Linked DNA regions of Caenorhabditis elegans. The protein of the gene in region 2 interacts with the protein of the main gene of each other region in a pairwise test. Each region holds a gene or a part of one and is shown on either strand. Other genes may lie near its edges.

Region 1 (3,754 bases), on a different chromosome or scaffold from region 2:
TCTTCTTTCCTCCATAAACAGTGTGGTTATTTATTTGTTTGAAATAGCCGCTTCGCGCCCACCCACTCCGTAACGTGAGTCATTCATTGTGGCAGCCCCGCCTCCCCGTGACTCAAATTTTGTATTTATTGCAATCTCATCAGCAACTTTTTTTGTTATGCCTTCATGTTTGGACCATTAATAGAAAATTGTTTGAAACTGACCTTTTGTGTGGCGAACAATCACATTTAATCGTATATCTCGTAAATCTCTACGCAAACGTGTTTGTTCTCCAATACCACTTGCCAAGAGGCAGTCTTACTTTGCGAAATATGGATGATAAAAGACATCATGATTTTTTCTGATAAGGATGAAAGCGCAATTATCGATTCCTCTCCGCTCCTACGCTCTCTGTGTTCAGCGCAATTGCTCTGACCAGTTTTTTTTTGTTCTATTCTCTATATCTAGAAACATTAAGCATTAATTCAACATATCATGAACCATCAAGATTTGACATAATTTTGATAATTTTCCATCAACTCAGTCGCCGACAAACAAGTTAGAGGCTCCCAACTCTGCACCTTGTGAGATGAGTCATGCAACAACTGGTCCATATCTGATTTAGTGTAACGACCACAATGCCACGATGACTAGGCTTGATTCTGCATTTGTTATTTATGGAATTCAAGACATTTTGAGATTTTTGCATTTGGTGTTCTAGCATTTATCTGACTAATTAAAATCAGAAAATGTTTTCACCTCGTTGTTTTTCAGAATTTGACTTTCCACATTTTCCAGCACCGCTTTTAAATATAAAAAAAAATAGTTTTTATTTATTTGATTGGGTCTCCTCATTTATTAGAAAAAATGTCGAAATTCTTGTTTGCGTCTTCTCAAATACATACAATAGTATTCTCAATGTTATCTCCTAATTTCGAAATCGATGGTTTCTCAATTACGAAATATTAGGAATTTTCCCACTTTCCGCGACACTATTATTTGCCTTTTTTAACCGCAATTCGATTACATTATTAGTGGTAAACAATCTTTTCTCTGAATTTCCAACGTTTTTTTTGTTTTACAAAAGAAACTATATAATAGTTGCTGTCCTCACATGATGATCAATGTTTTTTATCATTATCAATCAGAAAAGTCCCAGCTTTTCTTGACTTTTCCTTCAGAAATTATCATATCACAATTTGTTTGTTTTCTTTTTCTCTCTAACACTCTTACTCTATTCACTCAACAGTTCAATGCCGGAAATTCAAAATAACCAAATCGTTTTGACATAAACTTCAGTTCAAAGTTGACCTATCGCAAAAACAGGTCGAAAACAAAAAAAAATGGGGAACGGACCGCCAATGTTTTGAAACGGAAGGGGGGTGCGCACGCGGTCGCGTCGCGTGCCCGGTGTTTCAACGTAACTCTTGCACTTATTTACGCAGTGTGTCTCACTTGTGTGTGTGTGTGCCGTTCGTTTTTTCTCTCCCTTCCCTCCTCCCTCGCCGCATTGGAATTGCGACGGCGTCAATGCGGTCTTGCCGCTTTTCGAGACATTTTTGCTGCTGTGATGCCATGTTTTCACCATGATGTAATGCAATTTAATCCTCATGGCAAGAATGAAAAGTAGTTCAAAACGTTGCCTTTCTCGTTTTGGCAGCAGCTCTTTCTCATTTGATCCCCTCGTCGTATAAGCTAATACGCTTTTTGTTTTCAGCTGCTATATTCAGCCAACACAAAAGGCAAGAGCCTTTCCATTGACGTAAACGAGGCTTGTTTGCAACAACATCATGCATTCTAATTTCGTACATGAACTTTTCGAAAGTGCATTGAGATGAGAGTAATGATGAGAGCAAAGACATTTTCTTATAACTTCCCCTATTATTTATATGTATAGCCACTCTCATTCTTAGAAATGCTAGTGCACTTCTTTTCGTGCCCCAACAATTTATATTTTCATCCTAGAAATATAAATTCAAAATTTTGATTCTTCCTGATATTTCTTTATCTCTTTTTTTCTCTGTACTAAAAATAATAATTTTAAGGTGAAAAGATGGAGAGAGACTTCGACCTTGGCATGGGCAGACCTGGCGGGCTCGGAGGACTTGGTGGTGAACCGATCATGCAACAAATGCCACAGCCAGCGCCTCATCATCCATCCCGTAGTAGTAACGACCACAATGTGAAGAACCTCATGAAGCAGGCCGAGGAGAACTCCGGATATCTCACATTGCAAGGTAATTTGGCTAAATAAATAATCTTGAAACGGTAACAATTGATTTTTAGGTAACCGTCGTAAAGCTGACTTGAAGGAGCTTCAGTTCGTGGAAGATATTGGTCATGGAAGCTGCGGTACGGTCACAAAGTGCAGATACAAGAGTGTGATCATGGCTGTGAAGACGATGCCTCGGACGTCAAACAGTTATGAAATGTCCCGCATTTTGATGGATCTTGACGTCATCTGTCTCTCTTTCGACTGTCCGTACATTGTACGTTGCTTCGGATACTTCATCACCAACGTAAGAATTTTTATGAATTCTTTGACTTTTCCAATTATCATTTTTTTCAGTTCGACGTCCGTGTCTGCATGGAGTGCATGGCTACTTGCCTTGACCGTCTGCTTATCCGCATCAAGCAGCCAATTCCAGAGAGAATTATTGGAAAGTTGAGTGTGAGCATCATTAAAGCTCTGCACTACTTGAAAACCAAGCACGTAAGTTTATAAATCAGATGAACCATTTGGACAATATATAATCCGATTTTTTTAGCAAATCATGCACCGTGATGTGAAGCCATCAAACATTCTCCTCGACTGGAGTGGCGTCATCAAGCTTTGCGATTTCGGTATTGCTGGCAGACTGATCGAGTCTCGTGCTCATTCGAAGCAAGCCGGATGCCCTCTGTACATGGGTCCTGAGCGCCTCGACCCCAACAACTTTGACTCGTATGACATTCGCAGTGACGTGTGGTCTTTTGGTGTTACTTTGGTCGAGCTGGCAACCGGACAGTACCCATACGCCGGAACCGAATTCGACATGATGTCCAAGATTCTCAATGACGAGCCACCGCGCCTGGATCCGGTATGTGCTCTTCGTAAAAAATTCATCTAGAAAAAGCTTTTAAGAGCTACCAGTAGACATAATATATGCTTTATGGCGGCTAGAAACAGTACACAACTAGTATTTATGTATTTTACAATTTTACAGGCCAAATTCTCTCCGGACTTCTGTCAACTCGTCGAGAGCTGCCTGCAGCGTGATCCAACGATGCGTCCCAATTACGATATGCTCCTCCAGCATCCGTTTGTCGTGCATCACGAGAAAATTGAAACCGACGTCGAGGAGTGGTTTGCCGATGTGATGGGCGAGTGCGGATAATTGTCGAATTACAAACGTATTGTTATTTCCCAAATCATTTGTAAAAACTATCAATCCCATTCACTATCTCTTTCATAACATTTCCTGGTCTAGCATTCATGGTGCAAAGTTTTTCAATTTTGCTTTTTTACCTTATTTACCCTATTTACCACTTTTACCCTATTTTCACTTGTTCTCGTTCCCGTTGTCTCTATCAAAAATTCCCAACCTCTCTCACCGAATCCCTGTCTACCAAACTTGAATGTTCCGGATGTATAGTATCATTGTAGGCCTAATTGATTGTATATTTTGATTATGATATGTCTCAAAGTTAAGCCATCCACAGCTAGTCTTCTCGTCAGAGATTACTGTGGACATTAAAATTGTGATTCAAATTGTTCAACGGATATTGTTGTAAT
Region 2 (3,754 bases):
AATAATTTTGAAATTCATATTTTTCAAAAATTGTACATTTACTTTAAAAAAAACTGTAAAATGCCTGTTTTCCAAGAGATTTCCTGTAAGCCCTTAAAATTTTTTTTTGGAATTTTGGAAAATTTTTTGTTTTTTTTCAAATCCTTCTAACTTTTTCAGTTTTTGTGGCACTTTGCCAAATTTTAGCACAAAATAAGCTCCAAAGCTTGGAGTAGTAGTTTAGTTTAAAAATCCTTAAAAGTTTGAAAAATATCAGTCTACCAAGAGTTTCCGTGGGGGGTCCTCGAAATTTTTTTTAGTTAAATTTATTTTTTTCGGAAAATTTCAAAACCCCCTAACTTTTTTAGTTTTAAAGATTTATATACCAAATTTTAATTTAAAACAAGCTAAAAATTTATATTTTTCAAAAAATTGTACGTTATCTAAGAAAGCTGCAAAATTTGTGGCTGTCATAAGTTTTCGTGGAAGGATTTTGAATTTTTTTTTGGCAAATTTTAAAAAAGTTCAAAACTTCATAACTTTTTCAGTTTTTGAGATATTCTGTTAATTTTTAGCTTATAAATAGTTCAGTTACTTAGACTAACAGGTTAATTTAAAAAATCTTTTAAAATTTCGCAAAATATCATTCCACCGAGAGTTTCCGTGGGGGTCCTCAAAATTTTTTTTTTGAAAATTTCAAACCATCCTAACTTTTTCAATTTTTCCGTAATTCTTGTCAATTTTAGCTCAAAATGATCCTTAAAACTTTCTCTCCCCATCCAAACAGGTGTGAATCAACATATTGCGCAATGCTGAGACGCAGGGTGGGCCGGAGGGGACGGTACTAGGCTAGTACGCGCGGCTGGCCGGGCGGCGGCCTCGTTACGGAAAAGTGGAAGAGTGAGGAGAGATATAGAAGAAGTGTGACCTATTTCCCGCATACAATATCTCCCCGTACCGTCATCTTTTCCTCCTCTCTCTCTGTCTCTCTTTGTCCCTCTCTCCGATTTCCAAGGATTTTTGCATAAATCCGTCACGTGGCACGAGTTTTCTGGGTCCTGCCACGCAAACTCGTGGCGTGCTGTCATTTATGAATTTTGCTAAAGTTGTTTATTTGAACCTGAAAATTGAATTTCCGGGGCTTATTTTAATCTAAAAATGAAGCAAATAGCTCCAAAATTGAGAAAGTTGTGAGGTTTTGAAAATTCCAAAATTTTCAATTTTTTTTTTGAAATTTTAAGTTAAGGTGCCATCACGAAAACTTCTGATTAAAAAGTTTTAATTAATTTTCCATGAAAATTCATATTTTTGCGGTCATTTTGCATTAAAAATCGTAGAAATATCTTAATTTATTAAAAAGTTAGAAAACTTTGAATATCTGAAATTTTTGCCAAAAAATATTTTTACAATTTTTAGGTCCCACCACGAAAACTCTCAGCAATTCAAGATTTTCAGAGTAAGACATTTTACAATAATTGTAACTTAAAATTCAAGTTTCTACTGTTATTTAACATTAAAAATTATAGAAATATCTCAAAAATGGAAAAAGTTATGAAATTTTTAAAATTTCAGTTTTTTCAGCAACTAAATTTTCAAGGTCCCGCCACGAAAACGCTTGGCAAACTGAAATTTCTCTGTTACGGTCATTTTGAGTTATTTTGTAGGAAAATTCAGAATTTCACAATCATTTTTCCCAAAAAATGATAAAAATATCTCAAAAATTGAAAAAGTTGTGAAATTTTTGAATTTTTGAACTTTTTCCTAAAAACGTTTTTTTGACAACTCCCAATTTCTCGGAAATTTCCAAATTTTCTCAACTTTACCCCAAAATTTTATGTGTGACCTCTACTAATACCATAACAATAACAACAATAGCCTCCAGACCCCCCCCCCCCCCTCAGCCGACCTTCACAGGTGTCTTACACCGTCTGCGTCTCTGCCCCCTCTCCCCACCGCCTAGCCTACATGCTTGCAGATGTCCGGCGAGGAGGAAGAAGAATGGCGTGTACTTTACCAGGAGACCTTCGGCTATCGCCTGCCGCTTTTTCACCCCGAACATGCCGTTTTTCAGTTTCAACCCGCGCCGAAGCAAAAGTTTACAGGTGAGAACTGGAAAAAGCTACGTAACCCGCGCTACAGTAACCCAGTCACCTTGAAATTATTGCCATTCGATTTCTCTCGCTGAGAGCTTTCAAATGACACCCATCATGCCTATGCTCCAACGATTTTGAGTTTCGACACAGCTGAAACTGATGCTACAGTACCCCGCGTGGCGAGACCCAAATTTCCAAAACTGCTCGGAACCCGGGCATGATGGGGGTCATTTGAAAGCTAACAACAAGACTAACAAAATGCTGATATTTAAAAATTAATAGGGCTACTGTAGACCGGGGGGTTAATGTAGGTTTTCTGCAAAAAAAAACAGTTAATTTCAGACGAAGAGTTCAATCCGTGGAAGGAGGCCTACGAGCAGTTGAGCCGCGGCGTTCATGTCATGAAAAATTTGGAGCAATTTGTGGGAGCCGCCGATATTCAATGTTTCGATCATATTGAGGAGGCCTTGAGGTGTGAACTTGGACTTAGGCTTGGGCTTAGGCCGATGCTTAAGCTTAGAGTTCGGCTTAGGCTTAGGCTTAAGCTTAAGCTCAGGCTTAGGCTGATTCTTAGGCCTAGGCGTAAACTCAGGCGTGGGTTTAAGCTTAGGCTTAGGCTTATGCTGATCCTTCGGCTTAGGCTTATGCTCAGGCTTAGGCTTAGGCTTTGGCTTTGGCTTAGGCTTAGGCTTAGGCTTAGGCTTAGGCTTAGGCTTAAGCGTTGGCTTAGGTTCAGGCTTAATCCCAAAAATTTCCAGATTCCTCGACGAAAACGACGAGGGTGGTCACCACGAAAAGCTGATCTTCCTGCACGAAGGCACCCATGAAGTCACGCACACCATCCGAATCACCTCCGACGTTCAGATCCTCGGCGCCTCGGGCTCCGAAGACATTGCCACGTCCGTGGTACTCACCGGACGCCACGCGACTGTACTGGAATTCCAGAGCAGCGCCTACATGGGCTATGTGACTGTGAAGTATGAGGTGGACACGGAGCACGAGGCTCACGTGGCTCAGGATATGGAGGTGGATGCTCCCAGAGCTGGTGAAGAGGTGCCTGTGGGGGAGCCCGGCGGAGCTCCTGGAGCTCCTGGAGAGCCTGGAGAGCCCGAGGAAGCCCTGGAACCTGAAAAGTTGCTGGAAGCCCACACGGATCCCACTACGAATTGCGCCATGATAGTTACCGGGCTGCACGTGGAGCCCATCATTGAGCACTGCAATTTTCAGTCTGGTAATGCTGACAGTCATACTGTAGTTGTCAAGGATCACGCTGCACCGAAGGTAAGTTTTTCACAAAATTTTTATAACTTAAAATTGAAAAAAATTGAAAAAAAATGTTTTTTCAAAAATTTCCAAAAAGTTACCAGGCTGGTTTTTAACCTAAATTTCAACAAGATAAATAAAAAATTCACCCTAAAAATTACCACCACACTTCTAAAATTTCAAATAAATATCGAAAATTTCAGTTGAAAATCGAAAATTTCCCATGAAAACTCATGTTTCTCAAAAGCTAAGCTCCCAAAATTATTGAAACTTTACCCAAAAAATTTCCAGGTATTTTTTGATAGTATGATCATTTAGAAAGTGTAGTCCGTGGCTTTTCAGCTATTTCCAGCGGAGCTCCAAATTCCCAAATTTTCAGATGAGAAACTGCACTTGCATCGGAGGCTCGGGCGGCGGGA

What was found. Proteins that work in one complex are often made in the same cells at the same time.
Region 1: the proteins of fbxo-11.2 (region 2) and mek-1 interact in a two-hybrid assay, tested with the Caenorhabditis elegans proteins (one large-scale study listed by BioGRID).

The regions. Positions count from the first base shown.
Region 1 is NC_003284.9:7,477,224-7,480,977, forward strand, and holds the start of mek-1 (Dual specificity mitogen-activated protein kinase kinase mek-1), read left to right. Parts: upstream 1-2,024; 5' UTR 2,025-2,032; coding exon 2,033-2,216; intron 2,217-2,265; coding exon 2,266-2,498; intron 2,499-2,548; coding exon 2,549-2,692; intron 2,693-2,747; coding exon 2,748-3,059; exon of another isoform or gene 3,060-3,185; coding exon 3,186-3,356; 3' UTR 3,357-3,754. UniProt on the Caenorhabditis elegans protein: Dual specificity protein kinase which may phosphorylate kgb-1 and thereby is an essential component of the JNK pathway composed of mlk-1, mek-1 and kgb-1. May also have a synergistic role with sek-1 in phosphorylating pmk-1.
Region 2 is NC_003281.10:1,051,443-1,055,196, reverse strand, and holds the start of fbxo-11.2 (UBR-type domain-containing protein), read left to right. Parts: upstream 1-1,954; coding exon 1,955-2,081; intron 2,082-2,414; coding exon 2,415-2,544; intron 2,545-2,608; exon of another isoform or gene 2,609-2,813; intron 2,814-2,830; coding exon 2,831-3,353; intron 3,354-3,714; coding exon 3,715-3,754.